2 linked regions of the Stegostoma tigrinum genome follow. The protein of the gene in region 2 purifies or fractionates together with the protein of the main gene of each other region. This does not show direct contact. Links are inferred from orthologs where the notes say so. Each region holds a gene or a part of one and is shown on either strand. Other genes may lie near its edges.

Region 1 (7,978 bases), about 27 Mb from region 2:
CTCACATCAGTCCAGTATACAAGATCATCTGCAAATATAAAATCCACCGCAGCTGCATCTTCTAAACCAGCAACAACAATGGTGGCATTAGTCTTTCCACCAGCAGCATCCACCAACCTCAAATCTCGCCGATTTGCAAACAACAAAAGTGGTGCACCTGTATTCATAAAAGAAAAGACATTGTCAGTTAAGCATTACTGATGTAAAAAGAAAGCATATGATTTGCAAAATAAAGGTGAAACAAAAAAATGTTACTTCAACAAATGATTAATTTCATAATCACACATCCTATAATAAAGAAACTTAGCACTTACATTCTTGTTGTGCATGCTTCTTTCTAAACTGCAAGTTATATCTTACAAAACTGTAAAACTGTCAAAATGACTTCAGCAATTGGTAGATGAGTGCTCATGCCACTGCACAAGTGCAAACTGGAAATTCTTGCCCAAAATAAAGACTGGTCAGAGATTTCCAAACTGTCTCAGTACATTTGCACAGGTAGTAGCTCGAAAACTGACTTACACGGTTCTAAATATGATATTCCAAAATGTTAGAAACTATCTGAATACAAAGGATGTATTTGATTAAAATAATGGAATGAGAAATACATCAGTTCCATTAACTGGAACTATGGCATAATTAACCTAAACAGTGCTTTAGGCTTTAAATTCCCCACCTTATTCCCCCCCAACTCTATTTAATTCAGTTGAATTGAAACAGTCTTGTTGCTTTCAATATTTCAGTGCTGTAGGGAATCTTGAATGAATTGTTATTGAAAAGCAGAAACAGTGAAATTTAATTTTAAAAAACCTGCGTCAAATTAGAGATTACTACAAATAAATTTTCAGATTTAACATATTCCAAAGTGGCAAACATGGCATTTTCAGAGATAATAGGAACTGCAGATGCTGGAGAATCCGAGATAACAAGGTGTGGAGCTGGATGAACACAGCAGGCCAAGCAGCATCAGAGGAGCAGGAAGGCTGACGTTTCGGGTCAAGACCGAAACATCAGCTTTCCTGCTCCTAAGATATTGTATTTTCAGTGCAACTTTACAGGATTATGACTATAAAATACAAAATTACAATTCCAGAATGGCTGTATACTTAAGATTACATTACTACTCTGGATAAACAGAATTATAAACATCATGGATACCTGGTGTGAATTAAATTGCAGCAATGTAATCACAGACTGCCCAATACCTTTATGACGACATACCAACTAAAACTAAATTACTTCAACAGTAATCCTCACGGAAATAAGCTCTTTGAGATGTCGAAGGTATTGCACATTTCAAATTGACATCCCAGAATGTTTGGAATCAATACAAAAGGCAATAAGGTCAAGTCCTTCACCAGACTCCCCGTTCCAACTAACTAATGGAACTGCACAATAATGAGAAAAATAACTCAATTTTTACACAAATATGACCCCCACCACACCTCGCCATGAAAAATATGGAGTCAATTTTGAGAGCATCAGGTGATTCTGTGCATTGACAACTTACATGCAAAACAAATCACATGGGTAAAGGTGAGGGGAATTTTACCAATTAACCACTTGGATTCTAAACATCTGTTATTATTAATATGCCTGCAATTACGATCAGGCATATAAACTTGTACACTATTTCATATTCAACACCTAGCAGTTTCTCCTAGGATTATATGTACTGCATTGAACTTGTTTTGAAGTATATACAAAATATTCTTTAAAAAAAAACAAACCTGCAGAAGCTGGAAATCAGAAAGAAAAACAGAAGGCTGTGAGGAAGGGTCTCTGGACCTGAAAGGTTAATTGATTTCTCTCCACAGATGCTGCCAGACCTGCTGAGATTTTCCAACAATTTCTGTCTTTATTCGTGACAAAATATTTAAAGCTTCTTTCACTTAATCTGTCATGTAGGCAACATGTATTTAAAAATTACCTTTTTCTAAAAAATAACGCAAGTTCTTTCACCTTCCAAGATTAGTTATATTAATCTAATTGCAAATTAACTAGTACCTACCTGTCAGGGTTCCTCAAAGTTGCAATCCAGAATGTGAACATGTGAAATTTGGAATTGCACTATTAATAAAGTAATTTGTCTGTGGTATATGTGTAACCAGATACAAGGCTGCACTCGAATTACCCATGAACGATTTGTTAGCCCCCGAAAGATATCTTTCCTGCTTTTGTCGACAATGACTTAATTCACGTATGTTTTACAGGACTACCTGTTGCATTTGCCTAGAACTAACGTGTTCAACGAATGCAGGACTGAAAAAAGGTGTCAGTTATTGTTTAATAAAATAATTAAATTTGAAATCTGATCTGTAGCCCTGTAGAGAATGTGATTTTAAAGAAAGCTCTTTCTGATCAGCTATTATGAATAAAATAGAATACGGTAAAGAAATATGTCTCCAGAAAAGTTGTAAAACGTATTTAAAGCAACCCGAGTGCACAGCCGAAATTCTTTTATTTGCTCTTACAAGCAGGCCCTTCCTAAAACAAAACTAAACTGCTCTTACAAATGAATTAAGATTTCGAATGGACAGATCGGATCCGTCCGTCTGTTTGTTCGGGAACACTTCGATCGGCTTTTAGTGCTCCATAAACAACCAAAAGATGGTAAGCAGATGCTTAAAAGCATTGCAGAAAAAGTTCCAGCAGACCCGTTCCTCCCCATTGAGCACCCTGCGCTGTGTTTTGCCAAGCATTTCCCCCGCACAAAGTGGCAGCACTCCTGAGTGAGAGAGAGAGAGAAATCGCGGCATTCATTCCACCTCACGGCCGGCTCTCTATCACACACACACACACACAAAACCATTCCAGCAGCTAAAAGCGTTGAACGACGTTAGAGTTTATAGTTGAACCATTCGCCTTCCAATATAAATGGCAATGCATGTAAACCGGGGCAGAGAAAGCCCCTTCACCTTTCCCTTCTGCCCCCGTAGACAGCCAACCCCCCCCCCCAACGAAACACACACACACACCATCAGCCCCCTCGCGGGCCCCTCACAGTAACATGCAAGACCGTTCTCACTCAGCCTCCTTTTTTTAATAAAACCAAGAGAGAGGGCCAACCAATCTTTTAACTTTTACTCACCCCTTATCAAAGAGCAAACGCTGCACAACAGCAAACTCCTCAGCGCGGTACCCATGTTTCCCCTCCCCCCCCCCTTCTAGGCAGTCAAAGAGAGCTCAACGTGGCGCCACATTGAAACACATAGTTACAATTCCTGTGACTTTGGGCAGCGCTACAAAGTATCTCGCTCGCCAGCCATGGTTCCGTGGCCTCTCTATCTCCGCTCACCGTCGGCGCAAGCACACGCCTCCTCTCCCTCCGCCACTAACACCCTCCCTTTTCCTTTGCCCTGTTTCTCTCCCGGCGTACTATTTTCTTTACGGCAAGCTCGCTGGGAAAGAAAAGAGCCTTTTTAGTTCATTGTTCCTCCCCATGTGCCCCCTCCCGGGTGTGTAAAAAGATATATTCCCCCGCTCAGTCTCTCATGCATCTTCTTAACCGAGGCTTGGAGCGAGCCTTCCCGGGGATTTCTTTTGCAGCAGAGAGTGGTGCTCTGCCTTAGAACAACATAACCATTTGACCTGGACTGCGGCGCTACTTTTTTTTAATACTAGAGCATCAAGTATCCTTTGTACATGGCTGCGCGTTCAGGTAGTGTGTGTAGGAGGTGTGGGAACGAGGAGACGGTGTTAGGGAGATGGGGACGGTGTCTTTACCCACGTTAATGAAAGAGAGATTACTGCAATTAAATCGAAGGAGCGGGTGGGCTGGGCAGCGGGAAATCACATCTTTGCATTGAAATGTCGCCGTCAAAAATCCTTCCAAAGATGCTCTGGTTGAGAAATTGCGACAACATTGTGAAGAGTGATTTTTCACGCTCAAATAAATATACACGCGTAAAATAAAATTCGTTTTAGATAAAATTGTTATTTCTTTCCTTTCTTTAAAAGGTTTTAATGTGATATGAATTCCAAGAACCTCTTCCACGAATTATCCATCCATATAGGTTTAAGAAAAACGAGAACTTGCCGTCAGCAATGAAAGAAAACGAACAATTCCAAAACATTTCACACGTTTTTGTTTCTGGCATTAAAAATGATTAAACTCAGTTTAAATGTCTTACTGAGTTTATCTATGAGAGAGCTAGACCATGACGACGAATACATTTGGTCATAAACTGGAGATGGTTCTGCATCCGTGCTGGACTACGTGTTAAATCAGCAGCCTCAGAAAATCAATGCATGTAGTGCTCAAATAAAACAAAGAACTGCGGATGCTGGAGATCTCAAAGAAAAACAGAAATTGCCGGCGAAACTCAGAAGCAAGAGTCACCGAACTCCAATTGTTAACATTGCTTCCTCCTCACAGATCATGCCGGACCTGCTGAGTTTCGGCAGCAATTTCTGTTTTTGAGTTGGCACCGCTCAACACTTAAAACAAAAGTATGTGAAGAAAGAAAAACAAACAAAATGATACGCATTTGTTTTTGTGAAAGAAGCGAAAATAAATTAAGTTTAGGTGGTTTGGAATATGAAGCAGCTCCCCCCGCAGTGTTGCTCAGGTCAGCCAGACGGAAGAGGACCATGTCGTGGTCAGCAGATCTGACAGTATCTGCGGAGAGAGAAACCGAATTTAGACGGCAAGGCGAATACGATTTTTAGTGAACTCAGCCAGAGAAAACATTTTTATTTTAGATATTACCAGGTGTCATAGTATTTTGTAACCAAGTAATTTACCACAAACAGTAAGAGATAATTGTTCAGCGTCAGAGCAAGTAAGGATGCTTTTTAAGGTCTGCAACATTCAGACTTGGTTTTGGAGGTTGAGGGTCTGGGAGGTTATGTTATAGACCAGACTGGAATTTGGGAAGGCATGGAAAATTACGTAAGAGCTAAATTGCTGCAGATTTGGGGCAGTACCTCAATGGTTAGTACTGCTGTCTCAGAGTACCAGGAACCTGGGTTCATATACCAGCCTTGGGTGACAGTCTGTGTGGAGTTTGCATGTTCTCCCTGTGTCTGTGGATTTCCTTCCACAGTCTGAACATGTGCAGTTTAAGGCCATACTAAATTGCCCATAGTGCCCAGGGATGTGTAAAATTAGGTGGATTAGCTATGGGGGAATACTGGGTTATAGGGTAGGGTGAGGTGGTGAGTCTGGATGGGGTGCTCTTTAGATAGTTGGTGTGGATTTGTTGAGGTGAGTGGCCTGTTTCCACACTAGCAAAAAAAACATGTCTGTAAGACCAATTGAGGTGAGAACCTGGGAATTCCAACTCTATCTGCAAGTTATCAGGAGGAAGTTGAAAAAATATGCCTGCTCAACCTCATCTCTCTCTCTTCAAGTTTGTCTTCTGCCCACTAATCCTTATGTTTGTTCTTACTTCCACTTTCTCCTTTCCCGTACTCCCTGTTCAATGTTTTACATGCCCACCTCATTTGACATTCCCATGACCACTATTTTCCTTCTATTCAACCTCCCCTAACCTCTCTTTACTTCTCTTTACCTCATTCTATGTTTTGTCTCATTCCTCTTTCTTTCCTCTCTCTTTCCTACCCTGTACACCTTTTCCCCCTTGGTTCGCAAAGCTTTTATTGAGCATTAGAAATCGCAGTCATTTCAGAAAAGAATGTACTAAACGTGAAGCATTTTCAACCATCAATGGGATTTCACTTGCTAACAGCATTTTTGCGCTACATTGAAAATATTTACCAAAATAATGTATGCTAGGTATTTAGTGTCAGTTAAATATCAACATCATAATCTTAATCTTAAGTAAGTAACTTGTATGACAATAAATTCCACAAAACTCGGTTGCAATGAGAAATTCACATAACTGTAATAAGGAATACAGAAAATGCTGGAAATACTCAGCAGTTCTAGTAGCAACTGTCCAGTGAGAAACTCTTCAACACTGTTAAGGGCAGGACTGAAGGCAGGCGGGCATGGAACTACAAACTGGCCTGTATACCAATTACCTGCCTCCATCCCATCCTGGCCATTTTTTAGAAGGTAGGAGTGACAATAGGGAGGTTGAGGGAGCTGGGCTACTCATCTGTAAGAGTTAGATAACCTAGTGAGCTAATTTAAGGGCTTTCTGGAGCCTGGTATCAGTGGCCAACTAGCATTTTGCAGTCAGCCTCATAAGCCCATAGAGGTGACAGGGGACATTTTAGCTGACTGGTGGTGGCCTTCTGGCTGTCCATAGCTACTTGGGTTCAGAGTAGGCACATTGCAGTTTAAATGTGAAAAAGTTGGAAAGAAGGCATTTTTTATTCATGGGATGTGGACTTCATTGGCTGGGTCACCATTTATTGTTCATCTCCAGTATCCACTGAGAAGTTTATGGTGAGATGCCTTCTTGAACTGCTGAAATCCATTTGGCATAAGTCCATCCACAATGCTGGTTGGGATGGAGTTCCAGGATTTTGATCCAGCAACATTGAAGGAAAGTAACATTTTTTCAAGTCAGAATGGTGTGTGACTTGGAAGGGAACCTGCGGGTAGTGGTCTTGCCATGTATCTGCTGCCCTTGTCTTTCTATATGATAGTGATCATGGGTTTGGAAGAATCCTGTCTAAGGGTCTTTGGCAAATTTCTGCAGTGCATTTTGTAGATGGTACACACTTCTACTGCTGAGCGTTGGTGGTGGAGGGAGTGAATATTTGAGTTGCCAATTAAGCGAGCTGCTTTTTCGTGGATGGTGTCAGGCTTCTTATTGGAACTGCACTCATCCAGGCAACTTGGGAGAGTTCCATCACAACTCCTGACTTGTGCCTTGTGGATTATGGACAGGCTTTGGAGAATCAGGAGTTGACTTACACACTGCAGAATGCCTAGCCTCTGGTCTGCTCTTGTAGCCACAGTATTTATGTGGTTAATCCCATTCAGTTTCTGGTCAATGGTAGACCCAGAATGTTGATAGTGAGTAATTCAGCATTGGTAATAACATTGAATGTCAAGGAGTGATGGCTAGATTTTCCCTCGATAGTGATGATCATTACATTGCAATTGTACAAATGTTACTTGCTATTTGTTAGGGGCGGCACAGTGGCTCAGTGGTTAGCACTGCAACCTCATAGTGCCAGGGACCCGGCTTCAATTCCAGCCTCGGGCAACTGTCTGTGTGGAGTTTGCACATTCTCCCTGTGTTTGTGTGGGTTTCCTCCCAGAGTCCAAAGATGTGAGGTGAGGTGGATCGGCCTCGCTAAATTGCCCGTAGTGTGTGGGTTATAGGGGGATGGGTCTGGGTGGGATATTCCAAAGGGCAGTGTGGACTTGTTGGGCCAAAGGGCCTGTTTCCACACTGTAGGGAATCTAATTAATCTAGTCCAAGCCTGGATATTTCCACATCTTGCTGCATTTGGATATGGACTACTTCAGTATCTGAGGAGTCTGTGTTGGTGCTGAACGTGCCCACTTGTTAACTTATGATAGAGATAATGTCATTGATGAAGCAGTTAATATGGTTAGGCCAAAGAAACTAGACACAGGAATTCCTGCAGAGATGTTCTGAAGCAGAGATGACTAACCTCCAACAACTACAAACATTTTCTTTTGTGCCAGGTATAACTCCAACTCATTTACTCCTTGATTCCCATTGACTCCAGTTTTGCTAGGGATCCTTGCTGCCACACTAAATCAAATGTGACTGTGATGCCACAGGCAGTCACTCTCACCTCCTCTCCAGAATTGAGTTATTTTGTCCATGCTTGAACCAGAAGCTCAGTAGCCCTGACTGAACCCGAACTGATCACAAGTGACCACGTTATTGCTCAGCAAATTGTGTTTGATAGCACTGTTGGTGGCAACTTCCAGAACTTTACTGAGAACAGAGAATAGACTGATGGGGCAGTTATTGATTAGGTCAGATTTGACCTGCTTTGTGTATAGGACAAACCTGTCAATTTTCCACATGGCTGGGTAGATGTTAGTGTTATACCTGTTCTGGAAACAGTACAGCTTGAG
Region 2 (7,752 bases):
ACTGACCACCTCCTGTATTATGGGGGTGACTGAGGATTGATGGTAGTTTAAATGTACCTCCCTAGACCCCACCCACTAGCCAAAAACACACAAAAGTGAAACAATGAAACAAGAACCATGTCAACAGCAATTTCATAATCTCATACAGTGCAAGTTCACTCCTCGTTGCCTTTGTGACATTCCTCCAGCATTCTCATCAATTCATTGCAATGACAGTCACCAGTGCTGGCCATTCCACACAAGTAGTGCGTATCATTTACCCTCCAGTCAGGAGTCCTGATTAACTAGACCGTCCAAATTCCCACAACACTTTTCCCTTGATCTAGCTCTGCAATGTCATTCTTAAATAGACAATTTTGGATTCAACCATTAACCCTCCAAACGTACGCCATTGCCTTGCAGTTCAATCATCATAGAATCATCATCATAGAAAACCTACAGTGTGGAAACAGGATCTTCAGCTCAACCAGTCTACAATGACCCATGGAGCATCCCCCCAAACCTATCCCCCTATAACCCACCTAATCTACAGGTCCCTGAACACTGTGGGCAATTTAGCACGGCCAATCCACCTAGCCTGCACATCTTTGGACTGTGGGAGGAAACCGGAGCACCCGGAGGAAACCCACGCAGACACAGGGAGAATGTGCAAACTCCACACAGACAGTCACCCGAGGCTGGAATCGAACCCGGGTCCCTGGCGCTGTGAGGCTGCAGTGCTAACCACTGTGCCACCATGTCGCCCCAAAATCCTCTGATACCTACATCATAAAAAATAAGAACAGGAGTAGACCATTCAGCCCCTCAAGCCTGCCCTGCCATTCCATATGATCATAGCTGATCCAACATTCCCCACATCTATTTTCTTACCTTTTTCCCGTAACCCTCAATTCCCTGCTGATCAAGAATTCTCTCAAAAATCTGCCTCCTCAGCTCTCTGGAGCAGGTAGTTCCACAGACACGCAACCCTCGGCAAAGAAATTTTTATCTCAGTCTTAAATTAACACCCTTTTATTCTGAGGATGGTGTCTCTGGTCCTAGACTCTCCCATGAGGGGAAACCACCTCTCACATTTGTGCTAGGTAGTTAGGTAAGCCCACATTGTAGATCTTGAAATAGAGAGGCTCCTGAAAATAGAGAATAGCTTCAGCAGTTCAAACAGAAGAAAAATACTGCAGATGTAGGGTGTCACAAGTCAAAATAGAAAGTGCTGGAAATACTCACCAGGTCAGACAGCTTCTGTAGAGAAAGCAGGAGAGTTATTTTTCTGAGTCAGTGAGTATTCATAGTATTCTGAGTTCACTGGTGTGTGGAATGTAAACATGAAGGGAGATGGATAAGAATTGTTTATTACATATTGTGGGAGTGTTGAAAATTATTAAAAAGACAAGGCAGATTCAAAAGCAGATGACTCACAGTAAGCGAGAGTAATGACAAGCCTCCAAATGAGTCTGTGTTCACATTTTAAATATTACAGCCTCCAAAGCAGCCCAAGGAATAAATCATAGGAGATGAAAGCTGGTCAGCTCCTTTTGTTCTTCTATTCTACAGATCCTACATTAAACCATTAACTTATTTATAAGCCTGTCTTCCCAAGGACAAACCATCATGGAGTTGGATTTTCATTCCCTCTGTGTGTCATGTATAGTCACTGCTAGCCTTCTCTCCAAACTCATCAGCTCACACTTGCCGAGACCAATTTGCATTGGACAGAGTTTACGTATCAAGTGCAACCCTTCTGGCTCAATATTGTAACTGTTAAATATTCTGCAGTGATGAGAGGTGAGCCCAGACTAAGCTCTGTGGAACGCTATTGACTCCCAATCACTTGAAACAACCATCTCATTTCCTATCCTCCATATCCATCCACACCCCTCCATCCATCAATTAATGTTCAGTTGCAGATGTTGTAACCTTTTCATTATCATCGAGGGGTAGAATTGTGCAAACTCTATATCTACAACATCTCAAATATCTCCACAAGAATTCTCAAGCACAATCATCCTGTTGAATTCACTTGTGGGCCTGGGATAGCGAGCTAGATTTTTTTTCCCATTGGTTCAGCCTATTTTGACTTCCACTACCCTCTTGTGCCAGCTCCCAGTGGCAACTGTGGATAATTCGGAAGGCAAGTGGAATGTTAGCATTTATTTCAAAGGGATTAGCTTAGTATTAGCAGTATTAGGCTGTTGCCCCTTGTGAGAGAGCCTAGGACCAGGCAGCACAATCTTGGAGTAAGGGGTCACCCATTGAAGACAGAGATAAAGAAGAATTTCTTCTCTCGAAGGACAGTGATTCTGTGGCATTCTTGACCACAGAATGGTGTCAAAGCTGGGTCATTAAGTATGTTCAAGGATTTTAACCAGCAAGGGAATCAAAGATCACAGTGAAAAGGCAGGAAAGTGGAGTTGAGGATGATCAGATCAGCCATTGAGTGGAGGAGCAGACTCTGCAGATTGGCACACACTGTCTCAGCTCCAGGCTGGCCTGGAAATAAAGTAACTAAGAGCCAGAGCCAATGAAACCCTGTCTCAGCAAAAGAACATTGGCTGCTTGGTTCAGAACCTCTTGAGCGCAGCACGGGCCCAGGACTAGGTCTGGGGAACCCCCACCTCACAAACACACGCTCAAAGAGAGTCCGAGTGGCAGCACAAGTAAACAAAGAGTTAAAGGGCTTGCTTTCACCCGGTTTAGATTCTGGCTGAGGCCTGTCAGGGACTGGGATGTGTTTCAGAATTAGATCACCGACTCTCACGGAAGTGTTTGCCACGATCCGGCAGAAGTGGCTGCGCAGCCCTGCCTCCGAGGCCGGGAAGTTCCTGTATTCCCAGCCTCCACACACTCGCTCCCCGTTTACCATTGGGAATGCCACCTTCAATGTAGCAACCAGGTAGCGAAGCTTGCAACACTGTGGCGAATTTCCCAACATTGTAGCGAAATCAATACCACTGGAGGGAAACTCACGTCCAGGTGGTTAAATTCACAACATTGTGGCGAATTTCCCAACACTGGAGGGAAGTGGACAAAACTTCAGTGAAATTCTGAAAAAAATGCGAAGCTCCCACACTGTTCGCTATGCTGGTTGCAATAAGGAAGTGAATTAAAAGTCAGGCAAATTTCAACTTCCCTCTCCGAGGAATTGGTTTCACGCGGCTTCAAACTTTCTTGTTACCTTGATGTGTCTCTGAGTGAAAGCTTCAGACATGTCTGGCAAGGTCCGCAGATTCACTTCTCCCTGTCTCTCCACCCCCTCTATCCCTGCCTCTGTTCCCGGGAAAGGGAAGCAGCCTTAGACTCCTTACGGGAGGAGGCTCCGAGAAGGATCGATCAGTCCCGAGCCGGGGGAAGTGCTGGTCCGAGCGACTGCCGGCTGCCGAGCTCCCCCGCCTGTGAATCACATCCCGGACCGAGACTCCTTCTTCCGGGAAGGGAAAGCGAAACGTTCCTTGATCTCATGGTTGGTCACAAATCTCCAGCCGACCTTTGACGTGAGTTCCCAGCAGCAACAAGCCGGGGAAAGAGGACTGCAGTCTCTTAAAGGGGAACTGCAACCCGGAAACAGAGCCGCAGCATTGAGGGAGCAGGGAGACAGTACTGCTTTAAAACAGGCCACAGACAGCCAGAGGAAGGTGGGTCCTCAGCATTCATAGGCCTCACACACAGGAAGGCCTCCTGTTCACTCCAGATATGGCTGTCACACTCACAAAGGGACAGAAGCATTTCGCCTGGTTTTTGCCGATTGCGCTGGGCACTCGGGCTTCTTATAAAGCAGTTCACAAACTCGGAAATAACATGAAACAGCGACAGAGTCTGTATGAAGTAACTTGCAGTAACTCCATCCCGCAGTCACCCCAGCCCCCGCGTTAGGGCGATTCCTGATTCCCCCCCGGCGCCGTACTCCCTGTAATTACCCTGAACTCCCTGCTGGTACTCTAGTTAATTACCCTGAACCCCCTCCTGGTACTCCAGTTAATAACCTTAAACCCTGCGGTACTCCATGTAATTACCCTGGTACTCCCGTAAATTATCGTGCTCACTGAATGATGTGGCTTCTGCTCCATAACTTTCCCACTGAATCGCATATGGAGTTAATATTATGAACGGCAACTGGGCAATGTGACGGATTTGCTGGATACCCACTTTTCAGATGAGGCTGCCTGGAAAATGGTAATACACCTGGCATTCAAGCAACCTCACTGTAGTCTGGGATTTGCATGGGAATAATGTTCAGGATAACAATCCTCACCATGAAATAAGGTAACAATTTCTATCAACCAACACACACACACGGAAACCAGGAGCTGACTACCCAGTTTGCCTTCCTGTTCACAAGTTCTGCTTCATTGGTGTCTTCACCATAAGATGTATGAGCATTAAACCCGTTGAGTCTGCTGCACCATTCAACGAGATCATGGCTGATCGGATAACCCTCAACTCCTATCCCCACAAGAAATAGTAAGAACTGCCAATGTTGGGGTCAGAGATAACATAGTGTGGAGCTGGAGGAACATAGCAGGCCGGGCAGCATCAGAAAAGCAGGAAAGCTGACGTTTCGGGTCAGGACCCTTTTTCAGAAATGCAACATATACTCCTATTGTTTAAGAATGGAATGAGAGAAAGCATAAATTTAGTGAACCCTTACCTAATGTCTGTTTCAGGGAAGTTGAACGGACCTCTAATTAAAAGCAGAGTGATTTAGCACTTAGGAGAAATCTGAGCTATGATAATGTGAATTTTTAATGGGTAGGTCACAGCTAATGAATGTAATTGAATTATTTGAGGAAGTGGCTACAGTAATAGAGAATAAAGCACAGTAATAATCTTTGGATGAAGTTTAAGTGGGCTTCCATAAGACGTTTAGTTAGATTTCAAATGTGTGCCTGCTGGCTAAAATTAAACCTCATAAAATTGAAGTGAAATAAAAGGGCCTTTATTGGTCAATGCATTGAGTACAAGACATTGGTTAGGCCACTTTTGGAATATTGCGTTCATTTCTAGTCTCCTTGCTACAGAAAGGATGTTTTGAAACTTGAAAGGGTTCAGAAAAGATGTACGGGGATGTAGCCAGGGTTTGAGCTACAGGAAGAGGCTGAATAGGCTGGGGCGATTTCCTCTGTAGCATCGGTGGATGGTGGGTGACTTTATAGAGGCTTATAAGATCATGAGGGGCATGGGTAGGGTGAATAATCAAACTGTTTTCCCTCGGGTAGGGCAGTCCAAAACCAGAGGGTGTAAATTCAAGGTGAGAGGGGAAAGATTTAAAAGGAGCAATGTTTTCACAAAGAGAGTGGTGCATATATGGAATGAACTGCCAAAGGAAGTGGTCTACTGATACAATTACATTTAAAAGACATCTGGATGGGTACATGAATAGGAAGAGTTCAGAGGGATACAGGTCAATGTTGACAAATGGGACTGGATAATTTTAGGATATCTGGTTGACACGAACAAGTTGGACCAAAGGGTCTGTTTCTGAGCTGTACATCTTTATGATTTTATGGCTCTTGTGGTGCAGTGGCAATGCCCCTATCTATGGCCCAGGAGGACTGGGTTTAAATCCCACCTGCTTCAGTGATGTGTAATGACATTCCTGAGCAGGTTGATCTGGAAGGCAAATTATTGACCTGGTCTAGACCAGAAAGTCCCAGTTAAAGTCCTGCATGGAAATGTATTGATTTTAAAACCAAAATTCATTGGGATTGATCAGATGATAGAACATTGGGAGATTGGGCATGACTGTAAATTCTCCTAGATGTTTACCGTATGGAACGAGACCATTTAGCCCATCATGTCTGTGCCAGTCAATGAAGATCTGACTGCACTAAGCCCATTTTCCAGCTCTTAGCGCATCACCTTGGGGGTGCTGGCAATGCAAGAAATCTCTGAATTTTGATAAAACGACTCGACCACCCTTTCAGCAGTAAATTTCAGATTCCTCCACCCTTTCAGTGACAATTTCCTTTTAACCCTTTACCTCTTCCTTTAATTCTAAGTCACCTGTTTATTGACCCCTCTACGAATGGAAGAAAGTGTCATCCCATTTGTCCCATGTCTGCTCCTCATAATATCTCTCAGATTCTCTCTCAGCCATTGCTGTTCCAAGGAAAACAAGCCCAGCTTTTCCAATAATTCCTCATTGCTCAAATCCTCCAGTACAAGATTCCTTGTGAATCTTCTCTGCACTCTCTCTAGTGCAATCACTTCCTTCCTGTAATGTGATGGCCAGAACCACAAGTAGTACTCAGCAGAGCCTAACCAGCATTTTATACAGTTCCAGCATAACCTCTTTTCTCTTGTATTTAGTGTCGGCTAATAAAAGAACATATCCCATATCATGGGATCCCCACAGTTTGGGAGCAGGCCATTCAGTGCATTAAGTCCACACTGACCCTCCAAAGAGGATGCCACCCAAACTAACCCTGTACCCTGTAACTCTGCATTTCCTCTGGCTAATCCACCTGATCTACATCCCTGGACAATTTAGCATGGCCAATACACCTCACTTGCACGTTTTAGGACTGTGGGAGAAAATCAGAGCACCCAGAGGTAAACCCACGCCTCACTAAATAAATTTTTTCAACAGTATTCACTCTAGAAAATGACAATGTTGTCGAGGTAAATACTGAGATACAGGCTACTAGACTAGGTGGGATTGAGGTTCACAAGGAAGAGGTATTAGAAATCCTACAGAGGGTGAAGATAGATAAATCCCCTGGGCCAGATAGGATTTATCCTAGGATCCTCTGGGAAGCCAGGGAGGAGATTGCCGAGCCTTTGGCATTGATCTTTAACTCGTCATTGTCTACCAGAATCGTGCCAGACGACTGGAGGATAGCAAATGTGGTTCCCCTGTTCAAGAAGCGGAGTAGAGACAACCCTGGTAATTATAGACCAGTGAGCCTTACTTCAGTTGTTGGTAAAGTGTTGGAAAAGGTTATAACAGTTTATTATAAGGGATAGAAAATAATAAATTGATTAGGGATAGTCAGCACGGTTTTGTGAAGGGAAGGCCGTGCCTCACAAACCTTATTAAGTTCTTTGTGAAGGTGACCAAACAGGTAGACGAGAGTAAACCACTTGATGTGGTGTATATGAATTTCAGCAAGGCGTTCGATAAGGTTCCCCATCACAGACTATTGTACAAAATGCGGAGGAATGGAATTGTGGGAGAAAAAGCAGTTTGGATCAGAAATTGGCTTGCTGAAAGAAGACAGAGGGTGGTAGTTGATGGGAAATGTTCATCCTGGAGACCAGTTACTAGTGGTGTACCGCAAGGGTCGGTGTTGGGTCCACTGCTGTTTGTCATTTTTCTAAATGACCTGGATGAGAGCATAGAAGGATGGGTTAGTAAATTTGCAGACGACACTAAGGTCGGTGGAGTTGTGGACAGTGACAAAGGATGCTGTAGGTTGCAGAGAGACATTGATAAGCTGCAGAGCTGGGCTGAGAGGTGGCAAATGGAGTTTAATGCAGACAAGTGTGAGGTGATGCACTTTGGTAGGAGTAACCAGAAGGCAAAGTACAGGGCTAATGGTAAGATTCTTAGCAGTGTAGATGAGCAGAGAGATCTCGGTGTCCATGTACACAGATCCTTGAAAGTTGCCACCCAGGTTGACAGGGCTGTTAAGAAGACATACAGTGTTTTAGCTTGTATTAATAGAGGGATCGAGTTCTGGAACCAAGAGGTTATACTGCAGCTGTACAAAACTCTGGTGCAGCCGCACTTGGAGTATTGCATACAGTTCTGGTCAC

What was found.
Region 1: the proteins of transcription factor ETV6-like (region 2) and lrp6 purify together in Homo sapiens (affinity purification with mass spectrometry; 3 studies listed by BioGRID and IntAct, counting the BioPlex papers as one, with this or other methods). This does not show direct contact. The link is inferred for Stegostoma tigrinum from reciprocal best matches to the Homo sapiens genes ETV6 and LRP6.

The regions. Positions count from the first base shown.
Region 1 is NC_081371.1:27,847,801-27,855,778, reverse strand, and holds the start of lrp6 (low-density lipoprotein receptor-related protein 6), read right to left. Parts: upstream 3,335-7,978; 5' UTR 3,147-3,334; coding exon 3,092-3,146; intron 158-3,091; coding exon 1-157. UniProt on the Homo sapiens protein: Component of the Wnt-Fzd-LRP5-LRP6 complex that triggers beta-catenin signaling through inducing aggregation of receptor-ligand complexes into ribosome-sized signalosomes.
Region 2 is NC_081371.1:603,740-611,491, reverse strand, and holds the start of transcription factor ETV6-like, read right to left. Parts: upstream 3,604-7,752; 5' UTR 3,206-3,603; coding exon 3,173-3,205; intron 1-3,172. UniProt on the Homo sapiens protein: Transcriptional repressor; binds to the DNA sequence 5'-CCGGAAGT-3'. Plays a role in hematopoiesis and malignant transformation.